4 linked regions of the Oryctolagus cuniculus genome follow. The main gene of each other region encodes a partner of the protein of the gene in region 2 in a complex. Links are inferred from orthologs where the notes say so. Each region holds a gene or a part of one and is shown on either strand. Other genes may lie near its edges.

Region 1 (4,291 bases), about 100 Mb from region 2:
TGGGGCTAGAGAGCAAGAGATACCATGACAACCTTTTTCGGGTTTCCCAGGAAACATAGGTTGCTATGGGAACTGCATCAGTCAGGTCCGAATTAGTAACTTCCGCTGGAAGGGGTGTCTGCCACTTTAATCTTCTGGTGATACTGCAGAAGCTTATCTCTCAAATGCATTAGGAAATTCTTTGTTTCTCTCAGCAGCACTGAAAACATCTGTTTCTAGACTTTGATAGATGTTGGCTGGGGCATATGCACAGAACTTCAGAAGAATCTGTTAGTTTAATACTTTCGAAATGCTTTGTAAGTCCCAAAGAGTTAAACATATTAGTCAGATCAGAACATTCTGGGCATTTCCCTTTGTTCAAAGTTGTAAGAACCCTTAAAGTTCTGGGAGGAGGAACTCAAACAGAAATTCCAGTCCAAAACCAACTAAACTTCTGGTGGGGTTTCAAGTCACTGTTTTAGTTCTATTTTCCATCCACATATCCAAAGAGTAGGCAACTGAACTACATAGTTAATAGGTAATGTCTAAGAGTCCATCAAACTGAAGCATCCTGTAAGCATTTACCGGCTTTACTTAGTAAAGAAATAATTACCTTTCAATTTTGAGGTTAAACAGTTCTAACTGTTCTGTAGTTTCATTTCCTCCCAGGATGTACTTTTTTTTAAAATAGGGCGTGTCCTAGAAATCAAGTGCAATGTTAAGTTTGTTGTTCAGAAAATTAAGAGAGAGGGAGAGGAAAAAAAGAGCCGAGAGAATGCAGCCCACTTGCAAAACAGGCACCTGTTTCAGTATGAAGCAATAGGGAGAGGGAGAATGGAATGTGCTTCCCACTTCTTCACGTCCTGTCCTTGATGGATGGTCTGGAAATGTATAAAACAAGGGCATACACAGACCAAGGGGGCACGTTCCACACAGTACTGAGCACTCGTGTCAATTATTAAACATCGGTGAATATCTTTTTGATGTTGACACAGGAGTTGGGGTTATTGTTCGTGGTGCAAGTGGCAGTGGAGTTGCCCGTTTTGAAAGGGGTCTGGGGGAAAGCACTATGGTTCATACCCCCCTCTTCGATCACCATGTACTCCGACTTACTCAGAGTCGAGTTACTCCTTGCTTTTCGGAGCTCCTCGGCTGAAGAGGAGAGGTGCTGGCAACTTCCCACGTGCATGTACTGGGCTTGCTCTTCCCCTTCGGTCTCCCGGTGGTAGAAGTAATTGAAGTTGGAAACAATCACAGGAACGGGCAATGCAATGGTCAAAACCCCGGCGATGGCACACAGAGAGCCCACAATCTTGCCCCCTATGGTCACAGGGTGCATATCGCCGTAGCCGACTGTTGTCATGGTCACCACTGCCCACCAGAAGGCATCCGGGATACTGCTAAAGCCCGAAGTGGGGTCGTCCGCCTCGGCAAAGTAGACGGCGCTGGAGAAGAGGATGACCCCAATGAAGAGGAAGAAGATGAGCAGCCCCAGCTCCCGCATGGAAGCCTTCAGCGTCTGCCCCAGGATCTGCAGCCCCTTGGAGTGACGGGACAGCTTGAAGATGCGGAAGACCCTCACCAGGCGGATGACCCTCAGGATGGCCAGGGACATGGCCTGCTGTCCGTTGCCCTGTCGCTCGGCCAGCTCGGTGCCCAGGGTGATGAAGTAGGGAATGATGGCCACGATGTCGATCAGGTTCATGATGTTTCGCGAGAAGGTGGCTTTGCTGGGACAAGCGAAGAAGCGCACGAGCAGCTCGAAGGAGAACCAGATGATGCACAGGGTCTCCACCACGAAGAAGGGGTCGGAGAAGCTGGAGGCTCCGGCGGGGGCCCCCGACGTGCCGTTGCCGGCCGCCTCCACCACATCCTGCGACGGCGCGGCCGGGTAGTCCTTCTCATCGCGAAACTCGGGCAGCGTCTCCAGGCAGAAGATGACGATGGAGATGAGGATGACGAGCACGGACACGATGGCGATGCCCCGGGCCGGCCCGGAGCTCTCAGGGTACTCGAAGAGCAGCCACACCTGGCGCTGGAAGTCGCGGCGGGGCAGCGGCCGCTCCTCCTCCCGCAGGAAGCCCTCGTCCTCGCGGAACTTCTCCATGGCCTCCTCGCCCAGCTGGTAGAAGCGGATCTCCTCGGAGAAGATGTCGATGGGCACGTTGACCGGCCGGCGGATGCGGCCCCCGGACTGATAGTAGTAGAGGATGGCGTCGAAGCTGGGCCGGTTGCGGTCGAAGAAGTACTCGTTGCGGAGCGGGTCGAAGTACCGCATGCGCCGCTTGGGGTCGCCCAGAAGCGTCTCTGGGAACTGGCAGAGGGTCTTGAGCTGCGTCTCGAAGCGCAGCCCCGAGATGTTGATGACCACGCGCTCCCCGCAGCACTCCTGCTCCCCGGCGGCCGGCAGCGGCTCGTAGCGGTCACAGCCACCGCCGCCGCCGCCGCCCTGAGGCGGGCCCCCTCCGCCGTCGGCCGCCTCGGGCTCCAGCAGGTGGTCCCCGGGCACCACCGTCATGTCGGGAGGCAGCTCGGGGTCTGCGGCGGGCTCGGCGTAGCCGGGGTTCACCAGGGTGTGGGCGCCGCTACCGCTGCCGCCGCCGCCGCGGCTCGCGGGGTCCTGGGGAGGGTGGGCGCGGTGGCGGGCGGAGGTCTGCGGCGGCGAGCGCAGGAGGCTGAGGTGCTCGTCCATGCGGCGGCGAAGAGGCGGCGGTGGGGCCGAGCCGCTCCTCCTCGCGCTCCCCGCCCCTCGGCCGCCTCCGTCCGGAGCCGAGCCCGCCGCCTGTTGCTGCAGCCGCCGCGAGGCTCAGTCTGGCTCTGGCGCGGCTGGTGCGGCTCCGGCAACACAGACGCCTCCCCACGCCTCCTCCTCGCTCCCCGCCGCCCTCGCCCCCGCGGGGCGCGCGCCCGCCCTCCGCGTCCCCTCAGGATTCCCGCCCACCGCGCGGGCGCGCGCCCCGCTCCCCGGGCGAGCGCCGAGCCTGCAGCTGGCCCCTGCCCTCCACCCCGGTCCGTAGCACACGAACGCCCTCATTTTGCACCTCGGAGCGCCCTGGCCCTTGAACCTCTCTGGCCAGCCGAGCTGACCCTCTGGGAATCCGGCCCCCTGAGTTCAGCCCGCTTCTCGTCAGCGGCCCCCTCCCCCCAGGTCTGGTCTCACGTTGCGGGGCTTCTGGACCTCCGAACGCGGAGGCGGGCGGGGAGGGAGGATGAGGAGGGGGCGCCTGGTGCACGTCCCCGAGCCTTGTCGAGGGGGGGAATGGCAGGGCCGGGCGGGCTCCCTAGGCAGGCGGGGAGGCCGGGGCCAGTGTCCTGGGCTCACTTGGGAGTGGTGGACCGCCCAGCCCTGGGCCGGAGATGTTCTCAATAATGTAGCTCGGGCCTGGCTAAGCCGAGTGGAGGAATGGGTGCTGATGGCTTCCGCAACCGGACTCTGAAAGCAATGGGTCATTACAGGCGTTCAGGGACCTGGATTCTGTAGCGAGCACTTCACGGAGGACCGTTTCTGGCTGGGATTAGCAAGGGCAGCCTGGTCTTTACAGGACCCTGTTTCCTGTCCATGAGAAAAAAGGAGGAAAAGTGGGAAACGTGGCCAATGCTAGTTAGAAAGTTCAACCTCCTGGGGTCGACGTTGTTGCGCTGAGCCGCCTGCATTCCTCATAGGAGTGCCTGGTTCAAGTCCAATCGCCTCCAGTCCCAGCTTCCTGCTGATGGGCATCCTGGCATCCAGCGGGTGATGGCTCAGGTGCTTGGGTTCCTGCCACCCACTTCCTGCCCTGGCTGTTGCCCACATTTGGGGAGTGAACCAGCAGATATTCTTCTCTCTCTCTCTTTCAAATTAATTAAATAAATCTTAAAAAAAATTGGACCCCCTGACTTACGTCTGTCTTGGGAGGGATGGGAGCAGGGCCTCCTCCCTGGACTCCACTTAATATGCTGGTTCCACATGCTAGTTCCACGTTCTGTTTCTCCTCCTACTGCTTGATATGGGCTCAGAGGTAATTGTTGCTTATCCTCTTTGAGCGAAAACTATTTCTCCAAATTGTGGTCACTTCGAACACAATTTCTGTTTCCAGAAATTTTAACTATTCCAGTATGTCAACCCTAGGCTTAAAAAAGAAATTTGGGATCTGCGTTGTGGCATAACAGGTTAAGTTGTGGCATCCCTGACTGTGTCCTGGCTGTTCTTCGTCTTCTTCTTCTTCTTCTTCTTCTTCTTTTTTTTTTACTGGCCAATATATTATTTTTTTATTTAGTAAATATAAATTTTCAAAGTACAGTTAATGGATTACAATGGCTTCCCCCCGTAATT
Region 2 (4,352 bases):
AGCCCGCGCCTCCCCAGCACCTCAGGAGGATTTCTGGAGTTGGGCTGAACAGCAGAGGGAGCGCTGGCCACACGGTCCTGGCAGGGCAGGACAGCATCAAGGCCCCCTCACCGCTGGAGGCCGGAGGGTCAGTCTGGCGTTGCCCAGGCCTCAGTTTCCCCATCCATGCTGACCAGCCCACTTCGCAGGGCCCCAGGGTGAAACGAGGCAGGAAGTGCAGTTCCTGTGTCGGGGCAGTCCCTTCTCTGCTTGTCCCCCCTCCAACCGCTTGGCCACGGTGTGGACAGTCACGAACAATCGCACGCTCACACTGCGCGTCTGCCAGGTCTTGTAGGGCTGTGGTCGGCCAGAATTCTCTGTGGTCAGTGGCACTGCCCATCCCCAGCAGCCCTCCGGTGACACAGATGTCCACAAGGGCACTGGCACAGCGGCTTCCCAAAGGGCGGCCGGCCGTGCCCTTGGGGTGTCGGCTTCCTGCAGCTCCGACCACCAAGGATGCAAAGAAGTGGGGGCCCGGTATGGCCTCTCCGTGACCTTGGAGAAGTCTCCACCCTCTGAGAGAGGGCAGGGCGGAGCCTGGGGTGGCCCAGGCCCTTGTAGCTTTAGGACCTCTCTCTCTGGCTGCTGGGAGAGGGGGTATGGGCAAGTGTGGGGTCTCCGGCCCTGCCCACTGACAGAGGCAGCCCTTCCTGGACCCTGCCCACAGCCGCTCATGGCTCACCTCCTTGTTTAGGGACCGTTGGTGACACCAGGGTCCCAGAGATACCAGCCAAGGACCAAACACACCGGAGACCGAGCCACACTCCCCAGGTCTCCAGCAGGGAAGCGGGCTTTCTGTCCACATAGCCACCGTCTGTCTGCCCCATTGCCACAGCCGGTGCCAACACACAGCAAGGTCTAGAGGAGCCCCTCCCGCCAGCCCTCACCGGAAACTGCCAGACCAAAGCTCTGCCACTCACTTCCTCCTGAATCATTCGGGTTTGACAAGACGACTGGAAGAGGCAAGCGAGCCAGGCCAAGGCTGAGGCCCCCCGAGCCGGCCAGCCCAGAGCTCTCTGGGCTGAACCTCCCAGGGCCACGGCCTGCGCCCCACCGCACCCCAGCTCCCGGGGGCAATCGGCGCTGTGCGTGCTTCCTGCCTACCAGGCTCCGGATCCAGACGCACACGGGTTTTGAACACAAGAAGCACATGGCAAGGACTGCGTGCGTTTTCAGGACACCTCCCTCTCCCCCTTGCCCGGCTCGACCCCTGGGCACTGATCAGTGCCCACAAAGCATGTGTTGCCTGGTGTAACGACGACGAACGGAGGGTGGACGTTGGCTGTACAAGGGAAGCCTCCGGCGGGCTGCTCTGGAGGCAGGGACGTGCTGAGGCCCCAACACTGTCCACGCCACTGAGGCCGTGTGGACTTGGAGACCTCTCCCTGGAGAGGCTGCACGTCGGGCCTGCTGGACAGCATCCGGGGAGCCGGGTGCAGCGAGAGCACAGGGCCAGGAGCCCAGGAGCCCAGGAGCCGCCCGTGGACACGTCTGCCAGGCACGCATCGGGTGGGCAGACAGTGCCCACGCACAGGCCCCCAAGCCTGCAGCAGGCCCAAGTGCAGTACGGCAGCAGAGCAGGCGCCTGCACTTGGCAGGGGGGGGGAGGTGGCGCTGGTGGCGTTTTTGAGGGGGAGAAGTTGCAGAGAGAGAAATCCTGACATGACAGACAGCGGGACAGCTGTGGCCTGAACTTGGTGTTCTTACGCTCAGATGTGCACGAATTAATTTCCATAAATGCTAACGGCCCATTTCTCCAAGAGCTATTACTTATGTCATCTCCCCTTGGAAACGGTTCAACACAGGGCAGGCAGATGAAAGGGAGGCGGAGGCTCCCCCTCCCCCCACGGCCCGGGCCCCTGCTCCTGGCCTCTCTCCCACCCAGGCAAGCCCTGCGAACTGCAGTCAAGACCACCCACCCTTAGTCCCACGGCCAGGTCTCCACCACCCCAGGGAGCCCAAAAGTGCTGACTCACAAAATGAAGCAGAACAGGGAGGGGGGGTGGGGAGGGAGATGGTGACGGGGCGGAGGCAGGGGCTTCCCACCTGGAGCACCCAGGGTGCTCTAGGAGAGCCTGGTCCTGCAGAAGAGCCAGAGGGGCTGCCTGGGCGCCCGGGCGCGCGGTGTGCGTGTGTGTGTGTGTGGGGGGGGGCAGGGGTGCGCCCTGCAGCAGCCGGGTCTCCGCATCCGCAGGAGCAGCTGCAGGTAGGGAGGTGGGGGCGCCCTGGGCCAGGGCTCCGGGAGGGAGGAAGCTGCAGATGGGGGTGCGAGCTCGGGGAACGGGGTGCGGGGTGTAGGGGGCCAGAGGAGCCGGCAGGAGGGGAGCGCCCACGGGAGAGATGGCGGGGGCCGGGGGCACCGCGGGACCCGGGCCGAGCCGTCGGAGGAGGGCACGCGGGGCGCTCCGACGGGGCGAGGGGGAGGCGAGGCTGCGGGATGCCCGAGCCGCGGGAAGTTGTGCAGGGTCGGGGTGGCAGCTGGAAGGTCAGGCGGGAGGACAGATGGGGAAGAGAAGCGCGCACGGCCTGGGGGAAGGGAGGCGAGCGAGAAGGCGGTGAGGAGGCTGGAGAGGCTGAGACCGGCGGCGGCGGCGGCGGGGACGCAGGGCCGGGCGGGAGGAGCGGGCGAAGGGCCGTGCCCACCGCACGCCCAGACCACGCGCGGCCCGCCGGGGTCTCCCCCGCCACTCACCTGGGGGCTCCAGCTCCGGATCCTGAGTCCCGCTCCGGATCTTCCTTCCCGCCCTGCCCCTGCGACTCGAGCGCCCCCGAATCCCGCTCGCTCGGGCAGGTTCCGCCCGCAGCATCTTCACCTCGTGGGACGCCCGCGGCCACGCCTCCGGCAGTTTCTTATTGGCTGGCGCTCACGCCTCTCATCTTGATATTGGCTAAGGGATCGTCGGCCATGCAAATCAGGACGGGCCCGCTGCCTCACCGATTGGCTGGCGCTCGCGGAGGGCCGCCCCCCTTGACTTGTGCTCTGATTGGCTCCGAGGCCTTGACGACGAGAGGAACGCGGGGCGGGTCCGCGGCCTGAGCGCTGGGCGCCAGCTTTCCGAGGCTCCTCCGAGCGGCCCGAAGCAGCGCGCCCCTCAGCCGGCCCTCGGCCCGCAAGACCTGAGGCCAGTACACAAGACCGCGTACTGGCTGCCAGGCCTCTGGGCCCGTCGTGAGGGGACTTCCTCGAAAGCGCGGGCCTGGTCAGTCGGCCGGTCGCGGCGGGCCCGTCTCCTTGGTAACGCGGTCCACGGTGGGAGGAACCATGTGGGCTGGTGCCACGGGGGAGGTCGGACAAGGCCGCAGAGCAGGACGGGGCCTCTGGACCCGGGGATGGGATGGTTCGTTCGGGCCCTGTGTGGGGCACCCGGAGCCTGAGGGGTGCGGCGGCGGGGCGCTGCGCGGGGCTCTGTCCCCGTGGTCGCCCGCCGCCAGTCCCCTCCGTGACATTTGGTGCGGTCCAGGCCGCTGGGTACCCTGAGCTCCCGGCTCGCCCTTTGCCCCCAGTCTCCGGCCTCTGCGCCCCTCTGCAGCCCCCCAGCCGAAGCGGGGCATCGCCTGAGCTCTGCCGAGGCCCGTGGCCTTGGTTCCCTGGCCTCCGTGTGCCTCAGGCCTCTCCGTGTGCATCCTTTGCCGGCGGAGCCCGAGGGCTCGCGTCCGACTGTCCGGCTCCTGCGGGCCCTAGGGTTGTCCACGAGACTCTGCTCGGGGCCCCTGTGGCCTTCACCTCCACGCGCCGACCAGCCAGCCCCGCTGCTGCCCGGCTCTGCCCAGTTGGCCTCTGGAGGACTTCGCAAGGGTCCAAGGGTCCCCCTGCGCCCAGGGGGGAGGCGGAACGTGGGGGCCCCCTGCGTTCGCTGCGGCTTTCTGGGTCGCTGTGCAGGGCCGGTCCCCGAAGCTCAGGTGGTCTCTGTGCACATGGTCCTCACCAAGGCTGGAGCCCCTTTCTGTGGGGCCCTCCGGCCGCGGGGCTTCAGCCAACTGACCTGAGCCTCCCTGGCTCTGACCTCACTCCCGCGGGGGCTGGCTTTTGGCCGGTTTTCCTCTGTGCGTTGGGGGCTGTGGTGGTGCTGAGCGTGCGGAGTTGCTGGGGCGATGAAGTGGCCGTGTGGCTGGGTGGCCGGCGCTTCCTGCCTGTTTCCCCCGGGAGCGCCTGCTTTGGGTTTGCTCTCTGTCCTTTGGGCCCCAGAGGTGCTTCTGCTCTTGTTCCAGGACATCTATCTATCTATCTATCTTTCTTTTTTTTTTTTTTTTTTTTTTTTTTTTTTTTTAAGATCTATTTATTTGAAAGGCGGAGATACAGAGAAAGAACGAGA
Region 3 (3,430 bases), on a different chromosome or scaffold from region 2:
TGTTTTTCTTTTTTTTTTTTTCACCTAGTCATATGCAGTTCAGTTGATCCAAATAGAAGCATTTGTTCACTGTCCCGGGGGCTGGGGTATCGTGTTAACTGCAACACAGTTAATGCACAGTCTTATTGTGCACTTTGCAAAGGTTTTACATCGGAGTCCCATGCAAATGCTAGTTTTTTAAGTGATCGTTTGGCTTTTAGTTTAAGTTTTTTAAAAAAATGTTAAACAAGCCAAAGGGTTAAAAATGTTTCAGAATGGGGGTGGCATCTAAATCATATTTCACCTAGACTAGTTCATGGACTGCATTTTTTAAAGCCAGTTTTAGAAAATACCCTTTCTCTTCCCAACTTTATTTTTCAATAAAATGAAAATAGTCTCTTTTTTCAGGAATCTCAAAAAGTGTCTGGTAGGCCACCTCCAGAATCCACAATGCAACAATGCATTGACGGTGAAACAGAGCGTTCAGAGATTATCTAGGAAAGTATCTACAAAGTGTGCGCTCTGTTTTCTGCGTCTGGTAAGCGGGGGGGCGGCTTTGCGTGCACCTGCACCTTTCTCTAAACATCGGTCAGGAGCTTGCTCTTATTAACGCAGTTTTGGTTAGCGGTGGTGCAGTTCCCAGTTCTGAGGTTGGCCTGTCTATAATGGGCTATGCTGTTACTCATTTCCTCCTCGATCTCCATGTACTCAGACTTGCTCACAGTGGAGGAACTGCGGCGGCTGAGGTCACTGTCAGAGGCTAAATTCGGGGCGCTAACGTGGAGCAGCTGAGCTTGCTCCTCCCCCTCAGTTTCTCGGTGGTAGAAATAGTTGAAATTGGACACAATGACAGGTACGGGCAGGGCAATTGTCAGCACACCAGCGATGGCACACAAGGAGCCCACGATCTTGCCTCCAATTGTCACAGGGTACATGTCACCGTATCCCACGGTGGTCATGGACACCACCGCCCACCAGAAAGCATCGGGGATACTGGAGAAGTGCGACTCAGCTTCCTCCGCCTCGGCAAAGTACACTGCGCTAGAAAACAGGATGACGCCGATGAAGAGGAAGAAGATGAGCAGCCCTAGCTCTCTCATGCTAGCCTTGAGGGTCTGGCCCAGAATCTGCAGGCCCTTGGAGTGGCGGGAGAGTTTGAAGATCCTAAACACCCTGACCAGGCGGATGACCCGCAGGATGGCCAGCGAGGTGGCCTGCTCGCCTTTCTGGTTGCCCTCCTGCTCCGCTATCTCCGTGCCCAACGTGATGAAGTAGGGGATGATGGCCACGATGTCGATGAAGTTCATGATGTTCTTGAAGAAGTCTGTCTTGCTGGGGCAGGCGAAGAAGCGCACCACCAGCTCGAAGGAGAACCAGATGATACACAGCGTCTCCACGATGAAGAAGGGGTCCGTGAAGATGTTGGCGCTGTAGACCACGGTGGTGTTGTCGACGCGGCGGAAGGTGCCCGCCAGGTCCTTGTCGTCTTTCAGCTCGGGCAGGGTCTCCAGGCAGAAGATGACGATGGAGATGAGGATGACCATGACCGAGACAATGGCGATGACGCGCGCAGGGCCCGAGCTCTCGGGGTACTCGAAGAGCAGCCACACCTGGCGCTGGTACTCCTTCTCGGGCAGGGGGCGCTCCTCCTCCTTGATGAAGCCCTCGTCCTCCCGGAACTTCTCCATGGCCTCCTCACCCAGCTCGTAGAACTTAATTTCCTCGGAGAACATGTCCAGGGGCACGTTGACCGGCCGGCGCAGGCGGCCCCCGGACTGGTAGTAGTACAGGATGGCGTCGAAGCTTGGCCGGTTGCGGTCGAAGAAGTACTCGTTCCTCAGCGGGTCGAAGTAGCGCATGCGCTTCTTCGGGTTGCCCAGCAGCGTGTTGGGGAACTGCGCCAGGGTCTTGAGCTGCGTCTCGAAGCGCAGCCCTGAGATGTTGATCACCACGCGCTCACAGCACTCGTGCTCGTCGTGCTCGGCCGGCCGCGGGTAGCCGCCCTCCTGGGGGTGGCCCGGGGCGGCCGAGGCCTCGTCCACGTTCTCCCCTGACACCACCGTCATGATGGAAGCCGGCCGGGCTTAAGGGTGGGAGGCCTGGGGTGGGGGTGAGGGTGGCGAGGAGCCTGGGGCTGGGGAAGCGTGAGCGCGGAGGGGCTGGGGGGACCCAGGCGCAGCCACCGCGCCGCCGCAGCCACCACCACCGCCACCCGCGTGCGGGTCTCCCCAGCGCTCAGGGGGCTGGGCTTCCGAGCGAGCAGGTGAGCGGACCTGCGATTTGGCTCCCGGTTGCCTGGCCCTGCACCTTGTCTGTTTCTGGAATGGGAATCCCCCTCGTCGGCGCGGACCAGGATTTTGTGCCGACGGCCGAGTTTGGAGGATGTGCTTGTTTCGTTTTGTTTTGTTCTAAAAGTTGTTTATTTTTTTCTTTTTCTTTTATTTTGTATTCCTTCCTGCCCCGCGGTGCCTTAACGCAGAGCCGCTCCAGTGGATCGGGCCATGGCTTCGGGGCGCGCCCCGGCCTCCCCGCCCCGCCGCCAGCCCTCCCTGGACCGCGGGGCGCTGCCAGCTCAGCGGAGCCCCACGCCTGCCACCCCCTCCGCTGCTCCTCGGCTCGCCCCCCTCCTAGCCCTCTTCGCCTGCCGCCTTCTAAGCTCCCACCAAGGGCGATCGATGCACGCTGCAGAGAAATAGAAAGTGATACGGGGGGCAGAGAATCAGAAGCGTTCCGATGGGACGGACCGACAGACACCGAAGAGCACGGACGTGCAGCTTGTGGGGAACGCACTGGACTCGGACCAAGGACAGCACACACACGCAGACAGACACACACGCAGACACCCCGAAATCCAAGTTTGGGGCTCTTCCGTCCCACTTTCCCCGGTGCCCAACGGCCGAGCTGTTTACAACTCCGCTACACTGGAGATCGCTAAAGCGCCAAGAGACCCCAGGAGGGGGAGCTCCGGATCCCGAGCAGCGTCTCTGCAACCCTCCCCCCAACGTACACACACCCGCCGTCCCCACCCCGTCACCCCAACACCCGGGTCCCGCAGCCCCGGGCTGCGGAGCCCCCTACCTGGACTGCTGGCTTGGCGCAGGGCGGTGCGGAGTCTGCCGGGAGCCCGGGTCGGGGTGCGGCAGGTCGTCTTAGCTGCAGCCGGACGCGAGTCTCCGCGCCGCCGCCGCAGCAGCCGAGAGGCACCCGGCACCCCAGCCGTCCTGGTCCGTCCGCTCGTCCTGTGCGGCTCTCAGTCGGACTATCGCTTCAGCGAGCAGCTGCGGCGGAGACCTCGGCTCCCTGCCCCCATGCTCCCCGGGCGCCGGCAACCTGGAGACGCCGTTCTCTCGCCAGTGCAGGGAGCTCCGGAGGATGCGGGGCGGAAATGCCAAATGCCACCCTCTCCCGAAGCTGGGAGGCAAAAGACGATCGCCAACACTCTCGCCGCCTC
Region 4 (4,247 bases), about 100 Mb from region 2:
AACGGGCTCGGGGACCCTCTGCGGGCGAGGGGCGGAGGGCGCGGAGGAGCCTGCGGGTGATGGGAAGTGCAGCTGAGCGTAACCGTGTCTGGTAAATAGCGCCGGCCAGCGGGACCACCGAGCTGCGTTCACCCCTCCGGCAGGATGCCGAGAGCGGCTTTGCGGCGGAGAGGGGCTTCTCCCCCGCTGCTGGGGGCCGCGGGCTGGCGCCGAGCCCCGCGGCTTAGGAGGAAGCGGAGATCTAGGACAGCAGCCGGCCTGTCCACGCCCCGCCCGAGCCCAAGCTCGATCGTTTTCGCGTGCAGAGGGTAGCCTCGCGGGTCCCTCAGTTGGACCCTGAGGTCAAAAGCTGGACTGCGCTCGGGGTCGTCGCTGCGGGAGCAGAGCGCGCCGGGCAGGAAGGGGTTAAGGCGGCGCTAGCTGCAGCGGCGGGGCTGCAGGATCCCGTCCGTCGCGCGGAGCGGCGCGGGGAGTGCGCCGGGCGGAATCCCGGCCGCTGCCCGGGGCGCTGCCGCGAGGGCCCGGACCCCTCCCCGCCTTGGGGCCTGGGGATTGGGTCGGCAGGGGGCCAGCCCGGAAGCCGGCTTCCTGCAGGCTCCCCCTCTCGCCTCTCAGCCGGGTTGGCTGAGCGTTTGTTCTGAGCTCCCCGCCGGGGAGATGTGAGGATTTTTCTCTTGGGGGAGAAACCAGTGGTCGTGCGCCTGCCCAGCTCAATGCCACCCACCTCCAAGGGAGGCCTGCGGCCCAGGGACCCTGGGGGGAGAGTAAGTTCAGCGGCCCAGCCACCCTGCCGGCCGGCTCCGGTGCGAGGCAACCTAGCTGTGGGAGGGGTCGCCATCGCCGAGCTCTGAACGAACGCTTTGGGGGGAGGGGGGCAATGGGGCGCTTCTTTCTGCACAACCTGGCTGAGGTCAGAGCTTGTAGGCAGGCTGCAGTGAGCAAAGCCCTCCCCTTGGGTGGTGCTGTGCCGACCTGCAGAGCCAGGGGTGCGTTGCCCAGAGCCATTCCCCCACCCCCACTCCCCTGGTTGCTCAGGACCAGGGATGTGGATCAGCTCAGGGAGGCCCCTGGAGAAGACAGGCAGCCAAGCCCGAAGGTTTGCTCCCTGGGAGAAGGCGCTTCCAGTCCTGGGAAGCCTGCCCAGGAGAGGCTGCGAGGCTGAGGGATAGATCTGGGCAAGAGCCTGTCACCTCCAGCGAGTGAAGCTGCCAGAGCCCTCCGAAACCTTGGCACCAGCTGCCCCCAAGCCCTGGTTCCACCTTGCTCCTGTTTTTTCCAGGCCGGGTCACACCTCCTGAGGACAGCCAGGACTCCGGCTTTTGCTGAGCTGTGCATCTTGCCACCTTCCTTGCAAAGGCTCCAGACCCAAGGCCAGCCGCTCTCTTCCTGCACGCCCCTGGCCAGGCAGCCCACTGCCCCTCCAGCTGGGCCCAGCCCCAGAGCTCACCTCCAGGACCTGGAGCCTGCCCTCCTGCCCGGCATGACTCACCATTTCTAGCTCGGTGAGAGGACGTGATGGGGAGTCGGGCGGCCTGTTTGTGTGTATAGGATACCTGCACCATCTGATCAGTTCTGCAAAGAAGAGAGCTTCAGGTTCCTGCCGGCCAGGTAAACCCACCTGTGGTGGAATGGCAACCATGTGTAGAGTTATGGGGGGGTGGGGAGGGAGTGAGGGGAGAGGGCAGGCAGAACACCCCAAACCAAGAGCCTGCACATGATCCCTCCCAGGGTGCAAGCATCTGTAAGCCATTAGTGCAGTGTGTGGGAAAGGGGTCCCCTCCTTGTGTGGGGCTGTGTTCTAGGAAGCTTCGTGGTGCAGAGGGGGGCTGCACCCGCCACCTTCCCCCAGTGCCAGAGCTCCCTTGAAAGACCGACACCTGCTCCCTTCCAATGCCCCAGACGAGTTACAAGGTGAAAGGGAATTTTACTTTCTGGCCATGGTGCTGGTGGTGCTGGTGGTTGTGTCCAGGTGGCTTAGCCCTTGGCTGAGATGGGAGACCCAGGCAGCAGCCCAGGGCAGGTTGCCAATGCCAAGTGGTCTCACGTCCTTCACTGCCTCTGTCTTACAGCCCAGCGAGGCTGTCCCCAGCTCTCAGAGAGCTCTGGGGGCGCCCAGGCCAATGCTTCTGCGCTACCTGGGGCCGTTCGCAGCACCCTGAGCTCCCTGCCACCAGGCAGCTGGAAGGCGTAGCAGGAGGCATTTCTCTCAGCCCCAATAATGACAGTGGCCACCGGAGACCCGGCAGATGAGGCCGCTGCCCTGCCTGGGCACCCCCAGGACACCTACGACCCCGAGGCAGACCATGAGTGCTGCGAGAGGGTGGTCATCAACATCTCAGGGCTGCGGTTTGAGACACAGCTCAAGACCTTGGCCCAGTTCCCAGAGACCCTGTTAGGGGACCCAAAGAAGCGCATGCGGTACTTCGACCCCCTCCGCAATGAGTACTTCTTCGATCGGAACCGCCCCAGCTTTGACGCCATCCTGTACTACTACCAGTCAGGGGGCCGCTTGCGGCGGCCCGTGAACGTGCCCCTGGACATCTTCTCCGAGGAGATCCGGTTCTACGAGCTGGGTGAGGAGGCCATGGAGATGTTTCGGGAGGACGAGGGCTACATCAAGGAGGAGGAACGGCCCCTGCCCGAAAATGAGTTCCAGAGGCAGGTTTGGCTTCTCTTCGAATACCCAGAGAGCTCAGGGCCCGCCAGGATTATAGCCATCGTGTCCGTCATGGTGATCCTGATCTCCATCGTCAGCTTCTGCCTGGAGACGCTGCCCATCTTCCGGGACGAGAACGAAGACATGCATGGCAGCGGCATGACCTTCCACACCTACTCCAACAGCACCGCCGGCTACCAGCAGTCCACCTCCTTCACCGACCCCTTCTTCATCGTGGAGACGCTCTGCATCATCTGGTTCTCCTTTGAGTTCCTGGTGAGGTTCTTTGCCTGCCCCAGCAAAGCCGGGTTCTTCACCAACATCATGAACATCATTGACATCGTGGCCATCATCCCCTACTTCATCACCCTGGGGACAGAGCTGGCCGAGAAGCCCGAGGACGCCCAGCAGGGCCAGCAGGCCATGTCGCTGGCCATCCTCCGAGTCATCCGGTTGGTAAGAGTCTTTAGGATTTTTAAGTTGTCCAGACACTCCAAAGGTCTCCAGATTCTAGGGCAGACCCTCAAAGCCAGCATGAGAGAACTGGGCCTCCTGATCTTCTTCCTCTTCATCGGGGTCATCCTGTTCTCTAGTGCTGTCTACTTTGCAGAAGCCGATGAGCGAGATTCTCAGTTCCCCAGCATCCCGGATGCCTTCTGGTGGGCAGTCGTCTCCATGACAACCGTAGGCTATGGAGACATGGTTCCAACCACCATTGGGGGAAAGATAGTGGGCTCTCTGTGCGCCATCGCAGGTGTGTTAACCATTGCCTTACCGGTCCCAGTCATAGTGTCCAATTTCAACTACTTCTACCACCGGGAGACAGAGGGAGAGGAACAGGCCCAGTACTTGCAAGTGACAAGCTGTCCAAAGATCCCATCCTCCCCTGACCTAAAGAAAAGTAGAAGTGCCTCCACCATTAGTAAGTCCGATTACATGGAGATCCAGGAGGGTGTGAACAACAGTAATGAGGACTTTAGAGAGGAAAACTTGAAAACAGCCAACTGTACCTTGGCTAACACAAACTATGTGAATATTACCAAAATGTTAACTGATGTCTGATCGAAACCTCTTAACATAACTCACAGCTCCATGGAACTAATGCAGATGTTGCATAATAGCCTGCATTGTAGTCAGTGTGTTCTACAGTGTGTCTCTGGTTCTGCATGGAAAGCAATAGTTGTGCAAGTGACTTTCGACCTTTTGATTTTTGATTTAGAACACAGAATATCTGTCGTGGCTTTCATGCAAACCTTCATCACCTGCTGTTGGGTTTCCAAAGATGGGAGTCACCTATGGAGCCAGGATTTTAGAAAGACACATTGAGGCCACCTCATATCCAGTACTCAAACCACCATATCAGTGCCACCTTCCTTTCCTAACCAAATGCCCACAACACCCAAGAGATGCACACCCCTCACCCCGACCCCGCGTCCTGTTTGAGCTCCCTCCCTGCCCCTCACAGAGGAGCACTATCATGGCTTATGGCTTAGCTTTAAAGCTCTGGGTCATTATTCAGAAGGTCATTCCTTTTTTTTTTTTTTTTTTTTTTTTTTACATTTAAAAGAGCACACAGTCCTGTGTGTTAGAA

The links.
Region 1: the proteins of KCNAB2 (region 2) and KCNA3 are in contact, whole or in part, in a cryo-EM structure (PDB 7EJ2), measured with the Homo sapiens proteins. The link is inferred for Oryctolagus cuniculus from reciprocal best matches to the Homo sapiens genes KCNAB2 and KCNA3. Residues at the interface, in NP_001186789.1 of Homo sapiens: Met196, Tyr199, Ser200, Arg203, Glu231, His234, Lys235, Ile236; in NP_002223.3 of Homo sapiens: Pro133, Met137, Phe140, Pro142, Leu143, Asn145, Tyr147.
Region 3: the proteins of KCNAB2 (region 2) and KCNA1 are in contact, whole or in part, in a crystal structure (PDB 1EXB), measured with the Rattus norvegicus proteins. The link is inferred for Oryctolagus cuniculus from reciprocal best matches to the Homo sapiens genes KCNAB2 and KCNA1. Residues at the interface, in NP_059000.1 of Rattus norvegicus: Met196, Tyr199, Ser200, Arg203, Glu231, Lys235, Ile236; in NP_775118.1 of Rattus norvegicus: Glu37, Met70, Phe73, Asp74, Pro75, Leu76, Asn78, Tyr80.
Region 4: the proteins of KCNAB2 (region 2) and KCNA2 are in contact, whole or in part, in a crystal structure (PDB 5WIE), measured with the Rattus norvegicus proteins. The link is inferred for Oryctolagus cuniculus from reciprocal best matches to the Homo sapiens genes KCNAB2 and KCNA2. Residues at the interface, in NP_059000.1 of Rattus norvegicus: Met193, Met196, Tyr199, Ser200, Arg203, Glu231, His234, Lys235, Ile236; in NP_037102.1 of Rattus norvegicus: Asp28, Glu33, Pro62, Met66, Phe69, Asp70, Pro71, Leu72, Arg73, Asn74, Tyr76.

Annotation. Positions count from the first base shown.
Region 1 is NC_091438.1:59,681,267-59,685,557, reverse strand, and holds the start of KCNA3 (potassium voltage-gated channel subfamily A member 3), read right to left. Parts: upstream 2,810-4,291; 5' UTR 2,672-2,809; coding exon 938-2,671; 3' UTR 1-937.
Region 2 is NC_091438.1:161,396,572-161,400,923, forward strand, and holds the start of KCNAB2 (voltage-gated potassium channel subunit beta-2), read right to left. Parts: upstream 2,821-4,352; 5' UTR 2,732-2,820; intron 2,246-2,731; exon of another isoform or gene 2,127-2,245; intron 1-2,126.
Region 3 is NC_091440.1:104,540,973-104,544,402, forward strand, and holds KCNA1 (potassium voltage-gated channel subfamily A member 1), read right to left. Parts: upstream 2,046-3,430; coding exon 558-2,045; downstream 1-557. UniProt on the Homo sapiens protein: Voltage-gated potassium channel that mediates transmembrane potassium transport in excitable membranes, primarily in the brain and the central nervous system, but also in the kidney.
Region 4 is NC_091438.1:59,753,181-59,757,427, forward strand, and holds KCNA2 (potassium voltage-gated channel subfamily A member 2), read left to right. Parts: upstream 1-1,440; 5' UTR 1,441-1,502; exon of another isoform or gene 1,503-1,608; intron 1,609-2,069; 5' UTR 2,070-2,218; coding exon 2,219-3,718; 3' UTR 3,719-3,792; downstream 3,793-4,247. UniProt on the Homo sapiens protein: Voltage-gated potassium channel that mediates transmembrane potassium transport in excitable membranes, primarily in the brain and the central nervous system, but also in the cardiovascular system.